Linked DNA regions of Tribolium castaneum. The protein of the gene in region 1 purifies or fractionates together with the protein of each later gene. This does not show direct contact. Links are inferred from orthologs where the notes say so. Each region holds a gene or a part of one and is shown in the gene's direction. Other genes may lie near its edges.

Region 1 (4,958 bases):
AAGAAAAAAGACTACTACAGTGAAATGACAAGTGTAAATTATGCAGTTACATAAACACTACAATGTTAACTTAATATTTACACAAATAACTCAGACGACACTAGGGTTGGTAAGATTGGCCTTATAACCATTAAAATCACTAATTTCTTACTTTAAAATTCAAAAAAATAGGAAATATAGATTTTAAACATACAGGGTGAATTTGACACTATTTATGGGACTATTTATATAAATTTATGGGACACCCCCAAACTTTACCAATGAAAATTGTAAAAAATCTGATCTTTGAAGTAAGTTCTTTAAAATATATTATCATTCCTTTAAGCATATTTTGTTAATTTTGTTATGACTCCACAAAAAATAAATAAATAATGTTAAATTTTTTTTATATTTTTTTACTTTATCGAATTTCATTTTCTCAAATGTTACCGACTATTAGCCATGGCAATTTCGGAGTAAAGTAATCAAAAGACGCAAACTTCGTTTACATTGCATTTTTTGACGAGTATTTTGATACTAAAGTGGAGGCTGCATTATTTATATCTCAGAAACTATAACTATGAGGCAAGTTGAGTTATTTTAACTTCTTTTGAGCTTTACTATTACCCCTAAAATGTATGGAATACTATCAAATCCACCCCGTACCTAATACTTTTCCTGACTTTTAAATTGGAGAGCAAATGAATATCAAGAATTTTTTGTATGTTCATGATTTAGTAAGGCTAGAAAACCAGATAAATAAAATACATAGTAAGTTATATGATTAGAGATTGGTAAAACTCATTCGATTTTAGTTTTCCCCTAGAAGATTAGACATGCGGAAGTTATTTATAAGTGTGTAAAAATTGGAAAATCCCAACCAAAAAAAAAGTACAATGGTATCGAATACTCACTTTTGCCTGAAAGTCATTTCAGGATGAAAAAAACCATTATTTTTTTTGTTTTTTTTTACGAAAATGGATTATTAATTATTATCAATCAGTAACTATTTTTTTTAATGTCATTTTTTAAAAATAAAAAAGATATAACATATTGGGCTGAAAAGTAAAAAACCAACATGTTTTTCATAATAGGGACTGTAAAACAATCGACAATACATGCATTACGTACAAAAACTAAGCGGACAAAAGCATTTAGAACGAAATTAAATAAAAAAATTGAGCGATGGGATTGTAAACGTCATTTTTTTTTGATAGGAATATCACCTGATTGCGATTCCGGTTATGAAGCATCCACGTTAGAATCAATTCCAACTTCTTCACACCAGACCTCACCTCACACTGACCCCGGCGATGTCCCAGAGAGTTTATCCAGTCTTTCCGAAATATTTCTAACACCATCCCGAACAGATCAAGCGGACACATCTCAGGACAGTATCGAAGCCGACGATGACAATGCCTCCACAGTTAGCGAAATAAGCGGTCTTTCGGACCTCTCTGGACAAGATTGGAAACCAATGGCTGGCAGCATGATTTGGGTACGATATAATTACCATAAACAATCTTTTTTTTCTGTAGTAGCTGTTAAACTATTTCTTTATCAACTCTGTTGAGTAAATCTAATAGCACTGTAATTTTTTTTTTGCAAATACACAAACTCTTTATCGTCTTGTATAATAAATAACTAATAAATAATTTTCCGCAACAGATTCAAAAACAGATGCAAAACGGCGTGAATCCCCGAACGCTGCTGAGCGATCTGGGTGTGGATCTGGATCAAGTGCCGCAATATGTAGACGAAATAACTCTCTGGAAATTAATTATAAACATGTTGGCCGAGCCGCCACGACGGAACAAATTGCGACATGTTAATACTTTGGACGATGTAGTTCGATTGGTTAAAGGTTTGTCATTTAATTCATAAATGAGTGGTGTTTTTTGACGGAAGTTTGGTTTAGGAGCACAAAATATAATAGTTTTAACCGGCGCTGGAGTGTCTGTTTCGTGTGGAATTCCAGACTTTCGATCACGTGATGGGATTTACGTTCGACTGGCGATAGATTTTCCAGATCTTCCAGACCCGCAAGCAATGTTTGATATCAGCTATTTCAGTCAAGACCCTCGGCCCTTCTTCAAATTCGCACGAGATATATATCCAGGAAAATTCACGCCAAGTCCTTGTCACAGGTAATGATTTGAAAATAATATTTTAAATTATTAATTTTTTACCAGTTTGTCCAATTTCTTACCTCAATTGTGGAACGTACGTGTAGTATTTTATTGCCAGAATCATATTATTACTCTGGAATTTGTTTAAAAAAGATGACTTTTTTACTATTTTAACCAGTGATTTAAATACTTATTTGGTTTGAGGCAAGTGATTTATGAATTAATGTCTAAACTAAAACAAAACGTACAACTGATTTCACCGTTGCTAAATGTATTTTTGAAACATTTTCAAAACAGATAAACAGATAAAACTTTGCTTTCATACGTATAGTAAGCTTCCTAATGTTCTGAAAATAACAGCGAAATTATTTTTATGAAATTACAATATATGTCATTTTACCGGGATTCTTTTGAGTTTAATTGCATAAGTTTTTATTTAAAATTTAAATTTTATTTGTTTAAAGACATGTTAGCATAAGATGAAATAGCGTAATTGTGATCCAATCTGAGATCTTTGGGCTTATAAGTGTTTTCAAAACAAAAATAAACAAAGTCATTTGGAATTGGCTGTAATAGTATTATTATAGTAAGGCTATGAATTTTTCAACTTGTTTCTGCCAATCTCTTGAATTCAGGGAGTTTTTTTTATTCGAAAACGACATAGATTGCTCGGAAGCGGCTGAAATAATCTTACTCTGTCTCAAAGCAAGTATTTTTAATTGAGCTTATGGTGCAAAATTGAGCTAATGCTTCAAAATTTGCATCAATAGTATTATTTTCACCTAAAATATTTTGCTGTTATTTTTTTTTGAGTAATAAACTTATAAATGAATCCATTACTCACATACTACAGCGACTGTTTTCCAAGTTTTTGGGCATATTAGAGGAAAACTTGTTTTAAAATGAGTTCAATTTTTTAAATTGTCTGAAGTATCATTATTTTGACTTAAAACAAATATTGGGCAGATTTAGCCAATTTTTTTGAACTAAGTGAGTTTCTGGTGCAAAAGTGGGCAAGATACCACAAAAATACGGTTAATTGTATGTTTTAAACAGTTTCACAAAAGGCGAAATTTTGCTTTCTTATTTTTATAATCAAAATTTACGAACTTTCTATTTCCAACTTTTCGGAAATCAAGGAAGTTTTTATCACGGTTTCCATCTGTTGTGCAATGAAAGTGTTTATCTACATAAGTTTTATTTAAAACAGATTTTCTGTTCAATATTGAACAGAGTTTTTTTTTTGAATAATAAATTACTCCGATACACACATACCATAGGGATTGCTCTCAATTTATCGGAAATTTTCAGAGGAAAATTTGTCTAAATTGTTTGGAATTGGCGGAAATATCATTATTCTGACCTAAACTGAATATTGTCTGTCAGATTTCGCCAAAATTTCTTGAATTAAGTGAGTTTCTGAATAATAGAATAAAAAAATATTATCTACCGGTTTCTTGGTCTGTTTTCAATTTCGTGGAAATTTTTAGAAGAAAACTTGTTTTAAAATGAGTTCAACAGCCTGGAAGAGGTTGAATTAGCATTTTTCTGGCCCAAAACAGCAATTTTTTGGCTGATTTATTCGATTTATAATTTTTTTTCCGAATAAGTGAGTTTCTGGTACAAGAACGAGCTTAATCTTTCAGTTAGTCCTCTGTTATAGTAAGCCAAAAAGTATCTTTATTTTTTTCAACTAATTTCGTGAATAAATTGAAATTATATAATAATAGAGTGTTTTTTGTTTAGACATTTTAAAACATCTTTTTATTAGATATAGCGTTATTTTGTCTTAACACGACAATGTTTTGGTTTCCGTCGCCAAAATATTTTGGTAAATTATGTTTTTGGCTCAAATTACAACTAAATGACTTGACATGCCCAAGAATTGAGCTTAAAGTTTGCCGAAATACCATTGTTTCCACTCATAATTATGGAGAGCTGGTTTGTTTTGGCAAAATTTCATGAACTTGGCTTAGTATCTGTTTAAAAAGTGCTCGAAATTCTCTGAACTTGTTGCGTTGTTCTTTTTAAATCTGAAGAAAATGGAATTTTGCCATTAAATACAGGTTAATCAGGACGTTTTTATTTATCAACCTCAGTCTAAGAAGTTACAACATTTTTATTTAAGTAAATTCTTTTCTAATTAAAAGAATGCCGGTCTAAATCTCTGGCAATTCGTTAATTTGCTCAAACTGACGATTTTATTTAACTTTTTTTAGTAACCAAAGTAATAAAAATGAGCCAAATATCATTGATTGTTAAAGTAGTTTATTTTGATATAAGCGATAACTTGTTTCGACAAAATGCCTTAAATTGAGTAAGTTTCTGGTTCAAAATGAGCAAAATTCTTCAGAATTTGCTAAAATTACATTTTTCTCACCAAAAACTGTAGTTTTCTCACTGAACTTATGCTGTTTTTTATTCAAAGCGAAGATAAATAAAGTCAGTAAATCTTTTTCAAATTATGTACTAAGTACGTTTTTGATATAAAAAATGGTAAAATAAAATCTCTCGGAATTATTTGAGATAGCGCAATTTTTATGTTAAAACGACGATTTTTAGCTTGTTAGGACTGAATCTCGTGAATTGAATTGAATTGAATTGAATTGAATTTCTATTACACAAAATGATCTTCTGATTTACTTTTATTTTGGAAAAATATTTTGATTTAGCTGAGTGTTGAACCCAGAATTAACTAAAACGACTTGGAATTAGCTGAAATCTTGTTCAAATAGGTCACGAATAGATTTCGTAGTAAAAACTTTACTAGTATTTTATTGTTTTGATTATTATTCTACATTTGTTTTGTCACTGTTTTTTTTTTGTTTTACTTTGTGAGACTTCAATTTT
Region 2 (4,685 bases), on another chromosome or scaffold:
ATGAACTCCAACACCTCACAGGTGGACAATTAATAGGCCCATTAGTAACGCGACGGAAGCGTAAAGTGCGCTACTACTATTGCAACCATCTTCCTCACAAGCGCACACTTCTTGACGACCTCCGAACCCCGACCTTTGATAACATTTGTTCTTGTAATGGGAGTCATCCCAACCACAGGTCCTGATAATACGACTTTCCGGTTGCACTAAAAATAATCATCAAAACTGTTCAAACTCTCGATCTCACTTATTACATCCATTGACTTCAAAGTCAATCACTTGCTTGATTTTCCGGCACAGTTTGTACTTTGTTCCGGGCTCACTTCCAGGGGGCGACATGTTGGGGCAATCCATTTCCAACTCGGTCTTATATTTGGCAATATCGGTGTCGCTACATCTCTTATCCGCGTAACTGTTACACTGGTAACATCTAATGGCGTTACCTAAGAGAAAACGGATGATTTTTTTTTTAAGTTAAAGAGGGTGTGCATTGAAAGTGTTTTCATTTTCAATGAACATAATATAGTCTCTTCGTGGAACACAGATAAATTTGGTACAGAAATAGAATAAATTAGTGTTTATCATTCATGATATGACTTGCGTCAACAAAAACAAATAGTATTCAGATTTTCTCAACTTTATTCTCTCTTTATTCCCAAATGGTACAGCTTATTGATCTTCGAAATGAAATTGCGCGTGCGCATGCACCTTTTTCTTTTTTAAATTAATTACGATTAATGCATTTACATGTTTCTGATTAATAATTTTTTTAGCGAAAGTATTTCTAAAATTGTCTACAATACAAGTAGCGATTTACTTGAATTGGTGGAAAAAATTGGAGGGGTCTCGAAGGGTGCGAACAATAAAAGTAGTTGATTATGTAATCATTACTGTCTCACAAGTGTAGCACTTCACAAGTGTAGCAATAATTAAATAAATTTATGAGAGGCATAAGTTAAATTCGAACTGGAGGGTGTTTTATACTTACTTGATTTCAAACACACTAAAATAAGAAGAAGGGATAGTCCAGTAATGTATTGTAAATGGACCATTATTGGTTTGTGTTAAAAATTTCAAACGAAAAGAATTATTTAATTTAAATAAAATTAGATTATATGATCACGAAATGTTCGGTTTGAGTTCAATATGAAGACTGAATGCAGCTTCAAATAGGGCCTGCGCGAAACCTTGATTCTAACGGAAAGATTCATAAAGTGCGATCTGCGTTTAAGAAAAATATAACGGATTGTTTTTTCAATTTTTATTGATTGATAGTAAATGAACTGAAGTGAAGAAGGGTTACCATTTCCGTAATTACAAAAAAAAAAGTTGGCGTATACGTGTTACTGATTTGCTATGATGTGGCTCGATTAACTCCTACATAGTTTTTTTTTTCCGAAAAAAAAAATGTTTCGTTCGTGTTGCAAAGTCTGCAAAGTTGTGTCTACCCTTTAATTTATTATCCTAATTAGTATTACGAAACCGTTTGATACAATTGGATAATTCACCATATCCGTCCAAATTTGTTGCAATTGATGAAATAACACGTTGAATAACACCATCCATTTTTCCGCTTTGCGAAGGCGAGACAGGAAGTGGCAAATATTCCCTGTGGAATTATTATTTGCAAATCAATTTTATTTGGGTTTTTTAACCTATGAACCGTTGATGTATACCAAGGACGGACCAAGGAGCTCCTTGATGCATACACTCGGGGACGTATTTTGATCGAAAAAGTAATTTAAATGAATTATCCTATTAAGGTCAAGGGAACTGTGTTTACCCTAGGCAAACTAGCTCATACGCTACAAATAAAGCAGGTTAGGAATTTTTTCGTCATTTTGAAGAAATAGACAACTATTGTTGATCTCTTTATTACAATTTCTGTTATTTTAGTGCCAATGCTTCTTATCATACATTTTCTAAATAAAGGTTTTTTCCTCGCATGATAATTAAAAATAGTTATCTATTTGGTTATTACCATAATTTGTTTTTATTTTGTAGTACTTATCGCATTTAAAGTCGGACAGAATATAAAATATTTACACTTTTTTCTTTGTTTCCAAAGTTTTTTTGTAAATTAAATCACAATTTTTGAATGAAAATCGGCTAAAACTTTAGTCGTTAATATCACTGTCTTTTCATTTCTTAAATCGTATTTTTTGGATGGGGTAAGATGGGGTTCAAAGATCATGTTGGCAACCCGTAAAACACTGCGGTCAGTTTCCTGTAGAATTGTCTAGGTGTCGCTTTAGCGAATCATTTCGACATGACGTCATTCTCATTTCTGAAAATCCATGAAAGGGATGACTCATTCATATCGAAAGTTATTACGTCGTATTTGTTAGTATTCTGTAGTATTTCGAGAACAATACTACACAAGAAGTTAAAAGTTATATTCAAGAAATTTTCAAGCCAGTGTTGTGCTACATTGTGAGTCATTACAAATAAAAGCGCTTTGCTTTTGAATGTGGTGTTAAAGTAAGTGTTATAATATTAAAGATTCATTATTTACTTTTTTACCAAGTAATGCTTGAGGGACACCTCACAGACCTTCACTTTGTTTTCTTCTTCGAGAATCTTCATTTCTCGATATTCTTTTGTTTGCTATTGACGTAACTTAACCTAAAATTTCCATTTCAGATTTTATGGAAATTAGTGATTCCGTTTATTATTCACTGTTGGCTTTGGTCGTCGTGCCTGTTTACCTATTTTTCAATCTTTGGTCGTGGTTAGGTTGGGAATTGTACAAAAATAATTGATAAAAAAAATGAGCGGACCCAACTTTGAAAGTCAGCAAAAAAACCTCAGTAACATGAAGAAAAATCTCACTCTTGATCTTAATCAGTCGAAAATGAACATGAACCTATCGTTATCCCCCGACATCACGTCCGTCCTCAAAGTAGATACCCCTGACCTCCTCAAAGTGGACACACCCACCATTGAGAACATCATCTTGGCGAATAATATTTCACACACGCCTTCCCCTTCACTTATCTTCCCGCGGGACGTCACTGTGGAGCAAGAGAAGTTTGCAGGCGGTTTCGTCGAAGCGCTTAATTATCTTCACAATGGCAATTCTCAGCAAGGTTCTGACAGTAATGCCAGTACGGTTTACAGCGAACAGCAGAATTTCATGCCTGTGATCAAAGAGGAGCCCCAAACGGTGCCCAACGTGAATAATACGCCCCCAATGTCTCCTGTCGATATGGAATATCAGGAAAGAATGAAATTGGAGCGAAAGAGACAAAGGAATAGACTCGCAGCCTCTAAATGTCGTTCCCGCAAATTGGAACGAATCTCGAAATTGGAGGATAAAGTCAAACTGTTGAAAAGTGAGAATGTTGAATTGGCTTCAGTGGTCAACCAGTTGAAGGAACACGTGGGGATGCTCAAATTGGAAGTGATGGAACATGTGAATGCTGGCTGTCCCATCATTGCGGGACAGTTTTAAGGATAGAGTACGATTTATATTTTTTTATAAAAATTATACACCAGAGTGATTTTTTTATATTTTGGTGCTGAGATATTCATAGTTGTAGCTTTAATACTGTGACCATATTTTGTATGGAGCCATTTGAATTGTATTATTTACGGTAGATTTAGCGCGATTTGTTTTATTTTATGTAGTTTATCACATTTTTATTAATAAAAATTGTCTCAGTAACAAGTAGTGAATTCATTAAAAAAAATTGGTTAGAATAAAAACAATGGAAAATGGGTAAAGTCTTTAATTAACAATAAATAAAATTCTTTTGTCAAAAGCGACAACATAATTATTCGTGAAACTATATCATCATATCATAATACTGTAAGCGGTCATATTTCTTTGGAAATTAATAATTCTTCTACCCCCATGCGACCCCGATGTCTCCAGACTCTATAACGAGCTAAATCTTTCCTTGTTACCATTCCTATAACCTCATTTGTGTCATTAACAATCGGCAAATGTCGTAAACCGAGAGCTCGGAATAATCTAAACATTCGAGGTAGTGATGCCGACTGAAAAAAAAAAATGATTAAATGCTAATTACTTGTTTTTTTAATTACATGAAGCACCGTATATGGTGACGGATTCATAAACGGCCTCAGATCAATAGAATAAGTTTTTTCAACTTCGGAAACACTCACTTGCTAAAGAATTAAACTTAATTACTTAAAAAGGAAAGGGCGAGAGAAATACCACTACCTCTATTGTTGGATATCGGGGATACTCATCTCGAAAGATTCCCGCATTAATATCCTCCCAAAAGTCCGAATTTTCGTTAAAAATCTTCTTTTTCAAAATAACAATTAATTGTGACCTCAAAACTAACCCTCTTATTCTCCCATACGTGGTAACTTCCGATTGATCAGTTAGTGGCGGATCAACAACCGGAAATCCGTTATAAGTTGTTAATTTCAACAATTCAACAATATGCCCCACATTCTCAACACACTTCAGTGTAACCACCGGATGCGACATCACCTCACTGGCGTAGATATTGTGAACTAGTGGCGGGGGTTCCCATGGGAGTAACGGAACACCACTGAGTTGTATAAGTGTGTCATAAATTCCCTCATTGAAAAAATCACCAGTCCATTTTGCCGCAATTAATGTCAGAATTAGAGGCAAAGCAAAGGAAATGTTTCCTGTCGTTTCCATTATAATCACTGTCAAACTAATTGTCATTCTGACTACGCCT

Evidence for each region. Proteins that work in one complex are often made in the same cells at the same time.
Region 2: the proteins of Sirt1 (region 1) and Jra purify together in Homo sapiens (affinity purification with mass spectrometry; 4 studies listed by BioGRID and IntAct, with this or other methods). This does not show direct contact. The link is inferred for Tribolium castaneum from reciprocal best matches to the Homo sapiens genes SIRT1 and JUN.

What each region holds. Positions count from the first base shown.
Region 1 is NC_087394.1:11,919,601-11,924,558, forward strand, and holds part of Sirt1 (NAD-dependent protein deacetylase sirtuin-1), read left to right. Parts: intron 1-1,196; coding exon 1,197-1,477; intron 1,478-1,647; coding exon 1,648-1,843; intron 1,844-1,897; coding exon 1,898-2,126; intron 2,127-4,958. UniProt on the Homo sapiens protein: NAD-dependent protein deacetylase that links transcriptional regulation directly to intracellular energetics and participates in the coordination of several separated cellular functions such as cell cycle, response to DNA damage, metabolism, apoptosis and autophagy.
Region 2 is NC_087399.1:145,612-150,296, reverse strand, and holds Jra (Jun-related antigen), read left to right. Parts: upstream 1-2,337; 5' UTR 2,338-2,481; intron 2,482-2,529; coding exon of another isoform or gene 2,530-2,602; intron 2,603-2,643; coding exon of another isoform or gene 2,644-2,762; 5' UTR 2,763-2,770; coding exon 2,771-3,454; 3' UTR 3,455-3,670; downstream 3,671-4,685. Other genes in the region: uncharacterized protein LOC663924, read right to left, coding at 16-206, 255-443, 989-1,052; phosphatidylinositol N-acetylglucosaminyltransferase subunit Y-like, read left to right, coding at 2,530-2,602, 2,644-2,762; ClC-b (H(+)/Cl(-) exchange transporter 7), read right to left, coding at 3,820-4,002, 4,051-4,134, 4,190-4,685. UniProt on the Homo sapiens protein: Transcription factor that recognizes and binds to the AP-1 consensus motif 5'-TGA[GC]TCA-3'.